Linked DNA regions of Oryza sativa Japonica Group. The protein of the gene in region 2 binds, or shares a complex with, the protein of the main gene of each other region. Links are inferred from orthologs where the notes say so. Each region holds a gene or a part of one and is shown on either strand. Other genes may lie near its edges.

Evidence for each region.
Region 1: the proteins of inner membrane protein PPF-1, chloroplastic (region 2) and probable signal recognition particle 43 kDa protein, chloroplastic are in contact, whole or in part, in a crystal structure (PDB 5E4W), measured with the Arabidopsis thaliana proteins. The link is inferred for Oryza sativa Japonica Group from reciprocal best matches to the Arabidopsis thaliana genes ALB3 and CAO. Residues at the interface, in NP_180446.1 of Arabidopsis thaliana: Lys454, Arg455, Ser456, Lys457, Arg458, Lys459, Arg460, Thr461; in NP_566101.1 of Arabidopsis thaliana: Asp273, Glu274, Asp312, Tyr313, Gly316, Leu317, Glu318, Tyr319, Ala320, Val321, Ala322, Trp343, Asp345, Met346, Thr350, Glu352, Asn356, Asp358.

The regions. Positions count from the first base shown.
Region 1 is NC_089037.1:1,824,876-1,828,462, forward strand, and holds probable signal recognition particle 43 kDa protein, chloroplastic, read right to left. Parts: upstream 1,959-3,587; 5' UTR 1,882-1,958; coding exon 715-1,881; 3' UTR 576-714; downstream 1-575.
Region 2 is NC_089035.1:2,776,794-2,781,187, reverse strand, and holds the start of inner membrane protein PPF-1, chloroplastic, read right to left. Parts: upstream 3,095-4,394; 5' UTR 2,919-3,094; coding exon 2,553-2,918; intron 2,132-2,552; coding exon 2,021-2,131; intron 1,930-2,020; coding exon 1,855-1,929; intron 1,648-1,854; coding exon 1,587-1,647; intron 1,361-1,586; coding exon 1,287-1,360; intron 1,210-1,286; coding exon 1,105-1,209; intron 739-1,104; coding exon 631-738; intron 533-630; coding exon 429-532; intron 275-428; coding exon 125-274; intron 51-124; coding exon 1-50. UniProt on the Arabidopsis thaliana protein: Required for the insertion of some light harvesting chlorophyll-binding proteins (LHCP) into the chloroplast thylakoid membrane.

The DNA.
Region 1 (3,587 bases), on a different chromosome or scaffold from region 2:
CATGATTACCTTACCACATTGGAGCCAACAACCTGGCATCTTTCTTTTGGTTCTTTATGAACACAAGGCCACCTGTAAAGTATTTACTTTTAGAGTCAAATCTCCTTTTGTTTCTGCATCATTGGTGCAATTTAGCAAATGTGAGATCTGTACACCGGAAGAGTACAATGTAACATGCTAAGAGTGTTTTTTGATAAAGATATTTGATCTATTATTTATTCATTGAAGGAATAAACATATACTTTTATGTATGCTAAGAGCTGTTCCTTTCTATTATCCTGATATTTGGAGCCATCAGACTGCTAGATATGTTCATGTGGTCGTGCAAGGTATTGGCACTCTGTCAGACTGCAATATTGTGCCTGAATCTTATGCATCCTGTTGTGCAGTCTAGCTAGAGTCGTTGGCTTCAGAATGTCTTCCAATTGGATCGGCTGCCTTGATACGAGGCAAGCATTTCTTCTTCTAATCTTGAGAGAGTACTGAATTTTGCCATCCTAATCATACTTAACTGATGAAGGATCCATATGCATCACCATTTTCTGAAACTCTTCACATTCTCAAATTGCAATCTGAGGTTAAAGTTCTGCTCAACTCAAAAATTATCAAAGCGCTAATGATACATTTTGCAGCAGCACAAACATTTTATCCCGTTCTGTTAAACACAGCAAAACCAGGAAGAATCGAACACCCTCCGTCGACGGCGACACGCTGTCACCCGGCGACCGGCGGCGGCGGCGGAGCATCACCGCCAGCAGCCACCCCAGATTGCCGCTGCTCGAACTCCTGGAGGAGTTCGGCGTCGACGTTCTCCGCGGGCTCCCACGTCGCCTCCTCGATGTCCACCCACTTGACAAGGTACTCCCATTTCCCCTCCCCTTCCGCCGCCTCCCTCTTGTTGACGACGGCCTCCGCGACGGCGTACTCCAGCCCGGCGTCGAAGTCCTTCACCAGGTCCTCCGCCACCCACGCCGCCCTCACCCACTCCCTGTCGCCGCCGTCGCGCCACTCCACCAAGTACTCCCGCCACTTGCCCTCGCCGCGGCCGTCCACCACCTTCTCCACTTCGCCCCACTCGTACACGGCCTTCTCCAGCTCCTTCGCCGCCGCCTCCAGCGCCAGCCGCCGCTCGAACGTCGCCGGGTTGCCCTTGGGCGTCTTCGCGAGCACGTCCTGGACCAGCTCCAGCGGCGTCCGGCCCTGCCCGTCGGGGGCCTCCGGCTCGGCGCCCAGCTCCAGCAGCGCGCGCACGGCCGCCGGGCGCCCGTACCCGACCGCGATGTGCAGCGGCGTGAGCCCGCCGCCGGCGCGCTCGGGTCGCCCCACGTCGGCCCCGGCCTCGGCGAGCGCGCGCACGCACTCCTCGGATCCAAGCCCCGCGGCGAAGTGCATCGCCGTGCGCCCCTGCGCATCCTCCGCGTCGGGGTCACGCCGCAGCGTCTCGTCCGCGAGTAGCGCAGTGATCTCCGCCGCGTCCGCCTTCTTGGCGGCCGTCCACCACGGCGTCTCGTACTCCGCCACCACGTCCGCCGCTATGGCCTCCGCCGGGATCCACGAAGGCTCGTGCCCGTCCTTCCACTCGACGAGGTACTCCGTGGCGGTGACCGTGGTGGCCGAGCCGTCCTCCGCGAACACCGGATTCTTGATGGTGCGGCTGGACACAATACGGTCCACCTCGCCGTACGCCTCATCGTCGTCGCCTCCCTTGCTCGCTGGGTTTCTTGGGTTGGTCTGGTCCTGGAACACCGCCGCGGCGGTGAGCCGCCGGTTGGGGAGACGAAGCCGGAAAGGGACGGTGATGGAGAGGGCTGGAGTTCTCTGAGCATTGGGGTTGGGGGGTTTGAGGCGGGAAAGGGATGGGTGTCGTAGGACAGCCTCCATTGGAGTGGGAGGAGCTTGTGGCGCGAGTGGCAGTGGAGTGGAGGGAAGAGGATGATGGGTTTGGATTCGGGAGGGAGAAGAGGATAAGGTGATGGGTCTCTTGGATTGTGTGCGATCTGAGCCACTCGTTTTGTGGCATGGACGGTACAGATGGAGTAGTGCTATTCACATCCGCCAAACGGTCGATGATGCCCATTTCCCACCGGAGATCGGGGTTCGGGTCCCCGTTGCCGCGCGCGGAAACTAGCTACTGTAGCATTTAGATTTGCAGCTATACCGAGAGCCAACTACTTAAAAAAAAATTATGACAATTGAATTAGAATGTGACACATCCTCTATATCTAAATTCGATATTCTAGTACTATGTTATCTTTTTTTTAAACGGAAGTAAGTACATATTAATAATTAGATGATTAAATTTGTATAAATATGTTAACATGTACAATCAAAAGTGTACTCCTTATTGGCAGTTGTGCGTTTGGTTTTATGCATGCTAGCTCATCTTTCTTAACCCAAATTTCCTCTCTCCGTTTCTTGCTAGACCAGATCACAACACCCTGTTTTAGTTTAAAATCGATTGACAACATAAACAAAAACTAGAAGTTAAGCTTGTGCAGCTAGGCGGTGCTTGATTCATGGCAGAGCAAAATCTATGGTGGGTCACGTCCAGAAACACAAAGAAGAAGCTCCATCCATGCATCGACTGGACTTGATTCCGGTCAAGGAGATCGATCTGGCGGCGAAGGCGCTGGTTCGCATGACGAGCTGGATCCGCCTAATCCGATTTGTAGCTCTCTCCCTCTCTTGAAGGGGAAGTTTTCCGATGCTGACCAGCATGCCGGCAAGAAACCAAACATGCCGGATTTGACACAGAGGCCGTCAAGCAAGTTATGTGGCAGTGTGGCACAGGGGGAGCTAGAGTTTTGCCGTGGGGACTGAGCGAAAAAAAGGGCAACCAACGTGATGGCAATAATTTAGCAAGCATCGGCAAAAGAGATTGAGAGGAGTGAGATAAATGGGGATTGTTGGAACGACATGTGCTGATCTTGATCTTGACGGTGTTTGTTGGCACTGCCTCGTAGACCTGCTTTTTCATCTCCAGGCAATGAGTAGACCTCGTCTAAAAATCTCCCTCCTCTTTCTCTAATTGGGTAGTTAGATCCACACATTTTCTTCTTAAGAGCAAATTTAATAGTTTTTTTAGGGACATGCAGAGAGCTCCTACAATTTCACTATAGAAGAAGATAGTTGATATAAGAAAAATCAGACCCAAAAACTTTACAACAGCACGGTTAATTTTAGAAAAACCGGCGAAAACCCGGCATTGACAAACTGAACGCAAATAAGAGTAGTCCAACAAGAGAAGAAACTCCTAAAACGAAGCCTTCAAGAAGGTAACGCCGACAAGACGGCGACAACGTCCGATCCTAACGAATCTAAGGTTTTCACTCGGAGAATTCCCTTGAAGTGGAGTTGAAACAAGGGCTTTAAAAGCAACGCCTTCAAGAAGGTGAATGGCACCCGAGGGCGTCGCCGTTGCTAGCACCGGAGCAGAGCAAGGTTTTCACCTCGGAGACCCTGTCAACCAAAGCATCCACAACGGAAGCTCCCAAATGCCACTTGCACACCGAAAGGTACCTACAATATTCACACCACCTGCACGACGACCGGACTCCACACCACCCGACCCCGACTGTGGATGCGCT
Region 2 (4,394 bases):
GCGCTTTGTTGCCTTTTCTCTTGCTCTCCTCTTCTTTCAGCTGTTTAAATCTATTCAAGATATTTTTGTAAAAATCAAAACCAGAATATAATAGGGTTAAAAGCCATGTGAGGTTCAAAAGCACCTTTCACCAGGTTGGGCTGGTTGAGCACTCGTACGTTTTGCTCGTCCTGCAGTAATTATCCCACTACCCCCCTGATTGACAACAGGCTTTGCTCCTCCCAGTTTCCGTAACCAAACTTGCTGGGCTGTGCTGAGGATATTATTTGTGAACCTGATAGCAAACATGGAGTCAATACACATATTGGATTTGATCAATTGCAAGAAGTTAATGAGCAGTGGAGGAGTCCCACAATCTCTATGAGGCATAGCACTATAGCATGGAACATGACTGAAACACTCATACAACTAATAGCAAATGCACATACCAATAAATGGACAACCCTGACGGCACTGACAAAGAGAACCACCCTATCATAAATGGAAGAAATTTCAAAACAAGCAGTGTGTTCTTCTGCGATGGATCATCAGTCTGCAGAAAAAAAGGATCAAATTGCCAGCCACTCATAGCTTGTATAGTGGCAATATGACAGATGATATAGTAATTTAGAGCACCGCTCGTCTGCTCACCTGGGGTGGCTTCATGATTTCCATAGAGACAAACTGAGAAGCAACAAGTAGCACAGGCAACACAAGATAACATATCGTGTCATGCCAGCCTAATGGAGGATGGCCATCCTGCACAATTCATTTAAGTTGTAAGTATGATTTACCATCTCAATATTATGCAAGTACATGAGTAATATGCTGTTTTACTATCATGTCTCTACAGGACTATAAATTGGTATGCCACGCCATTTATTTCAACCAGAGTTCTAAATAATAGGCAACAAAATGCGAGGTGCAAATAGCTAAGCTTCTTGTTGCTTGATTGCTTAAATGACTATGGGCAGAAACGTGACACTAATCTAACTTGACGGGTATGTCAAAGTCAAATAAGGGGGGAAAATGAGGTTAAATTCGCTCAAGTGCACTATAAACCTGATTTTCCTAGATCAGCAATGAAATTGTTGATATATGTTAACGTGTGATCAATTTTATTACCACAAAAGGCAAGAGCCAAGAAATGCCAGCACCACTTTGCCGAGCAGCAATTGTTGTAGGGCCTCCCAAAGATGGAATCCAGAAAAATCCTTCTGTCAGTAATCCCTTCAGAGAAATATAAGCCACTTAGAACAAAATCCTCTTAATGAAGCAAATATTAGGAAGCAGGATTTGAGTTTTACCTCGTTTGCTACATTTGAAAGGGCTTGGTAGAGGCCAATCCAGACAGGTATTGTTGCCAAAGTTGGAAAACATCCTGGAAGAGAAACCATAATATCAAAACACTATATCACAAAAGCAATCTCACTTAAAACTTTAAAAAGCCAACAATTGGTTTTGCAAGCACATGATGGCAATAGATGCATTATGTCGAGAAATAGAAAATATGATCAACTAATAAATAACAAACTCATACAAAAAAGATGCAATGGAACAATTCAACTATCAAAGTTAATAGGCTAAAGAATGGAGAAGTAAGCGACCTGCCAGAGGGTTGACTCCAGCTTGCTTGTATAACCGAGCAGTCTCAAGCTGTATCCTTTCCTAATAAGAGTTATGTAGGAGTGATAGATCAGAAATGCCCAAAGATATGTGCTTGAAAATATAAAACACAACAGTGAAATAAGAACATTTTTTGGGAAGATAGTTCTACCTTCTATCGTTAAAATATGCAAAACATATATCCAGAAACAAACCTCAGTGTTCCTACTTTAATATCCATGGCGTGCGTAAAAGATAAACAAAACAAACCTGATTTCCTGCATATCTCTGTTGAATTGCTTTGATCTGTGGCTGTAAATTCTGCATAGCCAGAGTTGATTCGACCTAAAAAAAGAGAGGAAAAACAGCACAACTCTCAACCCACCATATCCATGTTACTCATTAATTAAAAAATAGACCAGATTTTATCATTTACCTGTTGTTTCGTTAAAGGTAATGTTGCAGCCTTCACAATAACAGTGAGAAGAATGATGGCGAATCCATAAGAGTACGGCACATGAACAGCTGACAGGCCATCCTTCAGCACCTGTATGGTGATACTCACATAGTATCAGCATTCCGGAGCCGATGAATGCTATGCAATAAAATCCTAACAGTTCTTGAATTGTAACATTTCATATCAAAACCTGTGGATAGGAAAATGCTAAACAATGCACGCCTGGTCATAACTAGATATAAGTTACTTAAAAATAACCATGCCGGGTTGCCGTCTGCTCAATGTTTAGTAAGTTTCAGAGCATGGAGGCGTCATAATTAAGTGCATGCACATCTACTCCTGCACTCTCCACGAACTTACATGACTCCAAATCTCCAATTCCCCAACCAATTCACCAGACCAACTTTTGCAACTCAGGGATATATCCATTAACCAATCTTAGCAATCCTGAACCTGAACTCCTAAAGTGACTTGGATTCCTATAGGTTTGGGAGAAGACGGCGGCGCTTACCTTAAGCACGACCTCCAAGGCCTCGGAGATGAACCCGAACCACCCCCCGTTCTTCTGCGCCACCGACGCCGCCGCTTCACCGCCACCACCACCGCCACCCCCTCCTCCTCCCGCCGCCGCGTCCGCCGCGACGACAGCGGCGTCGGCGAGCGTGTAGAGCGCCGCCTCGGCGCGCTCCAGCGCGGCGTGGAGGTCGAGCCCCGCGATCGAGTCGAGCCCGTGGAGGCTCGCCCTCACCCTGCACGCCGACGCGCGGCGGCCCCCGTGCCTCCGCAGCGAAGGCAGCGTCAGCATAGGCAGCCTCGCGGCGGCGGCGCGGGGCTGCAGCGAGGGGAGCAGCGACGAGGAGAGGAGCGCCTTGGCCATCGCGGGGGGTGCGGGAGGGAGGGGGGTTTAGAGGGGGGGGGGGTCTAGGGTTTCATGCACGAACGCCGAGGCGGAGGAGGAGGAGGAGGGTGGAGGTGGGGGGTGGGGGGTGGTGAGTGGTGGTGGTGCGAGAGGAGGAAGAAGAGGTAGTCGTTGGAGGGGAAGAGGCGGAGGTGGGGGATGCTTTATCTTCTTCCTCCTTTCCGCGCTCTTTTGCTGTGGACTCGGTGCACAACTCCACTTCGCCACTTCATCAAAGCGGCTCACTACTACAGTGTACGTAATACTCCCTCTGTCCTAAATGAAACTAAAACTGTATGTAATATTTTCTATTATAATATAGAGTCTATTATGATACATTATACTTGAAAACGTCCCATCCAATTTTATATTCTAATATTTTAGAATAGGTAGTAATGATTTTTCGAGGTTTTGACACGAATAACGTTTCCGTTCCGTGTCGAAACCTCGAAAAATTTGTAAGATGGTTTTCGCCTAAGCACCGGATCCTGATCCATGTGGATATAACGGTTTTTGTCAATTTTTTTATAACTTTTCGTTTAATTTTGGTCAAATTGACTGTTTCAGATTTGAACCATTCTAAATTTCAGTCATAACACTATCAAAACCTCGAATTTTTGCGGTTTTCAATTGGTTTTTATCGAAAACATGAATCCTAATGTCTACACTTCTGTTCACTTCAGTTCGATTTTAGTGAAAAGCCTCCTTGGGGACAAAAATAAATTTTGAAGGACCTTCGTATACAGGAATTACACTGATCTATGCAGAAACCATTTGAAAAAAAAAATGTATTTCAAAGAAACCCCGAGTATTTCGCAACCAACCTTTTTGGCATATTTTTTCTTTAAACATGCACTATATTCAGATTCAACGATGCAATCGTAATTTCATTACAATCATACCCTACATATCAGTTTTCTGAACGTTATTATCATTTTTTTTCTAAACCCATTTTGACAATTGGGTATAGATCGACCAAATGTAAGGCCCCGTTTGAAACACGTGAACTGTTTCCCTGATTCTTGTGAATATTTTGTGTTTCAAACTTTCAGAATGTGAAATACAAACTGAATTGTGCAGCATTGAACAAAGACCGCACCGGTAATAGTACTACTTTGACAGCACGGTAACAGATGGTCAATGTCTGCTAGTAACAGCCTGGTTTCTGAATGATCGGCCCGGGTGAGAAGAGATTGTTTGCCTGAAGAAAATCGAGTGTGGTCAAGGGACTATCTGAAGAATTCGCGAACATTGTATCAGTGAAAAATTATTCACCATTCGTCAGAAAGAAAGAAAAGCACACGACAAACAATGAAACAAACATCACTGGGGTTCAGACTTTCAGAACAGAAGCTGTGATTGTTTCACGACCACACACAACCATCGGTCTCAAGCACATTACGCTCCTTTCTCCATGGCTACACAAACTACAGAACTCGTGAGAAGCAGGCCACG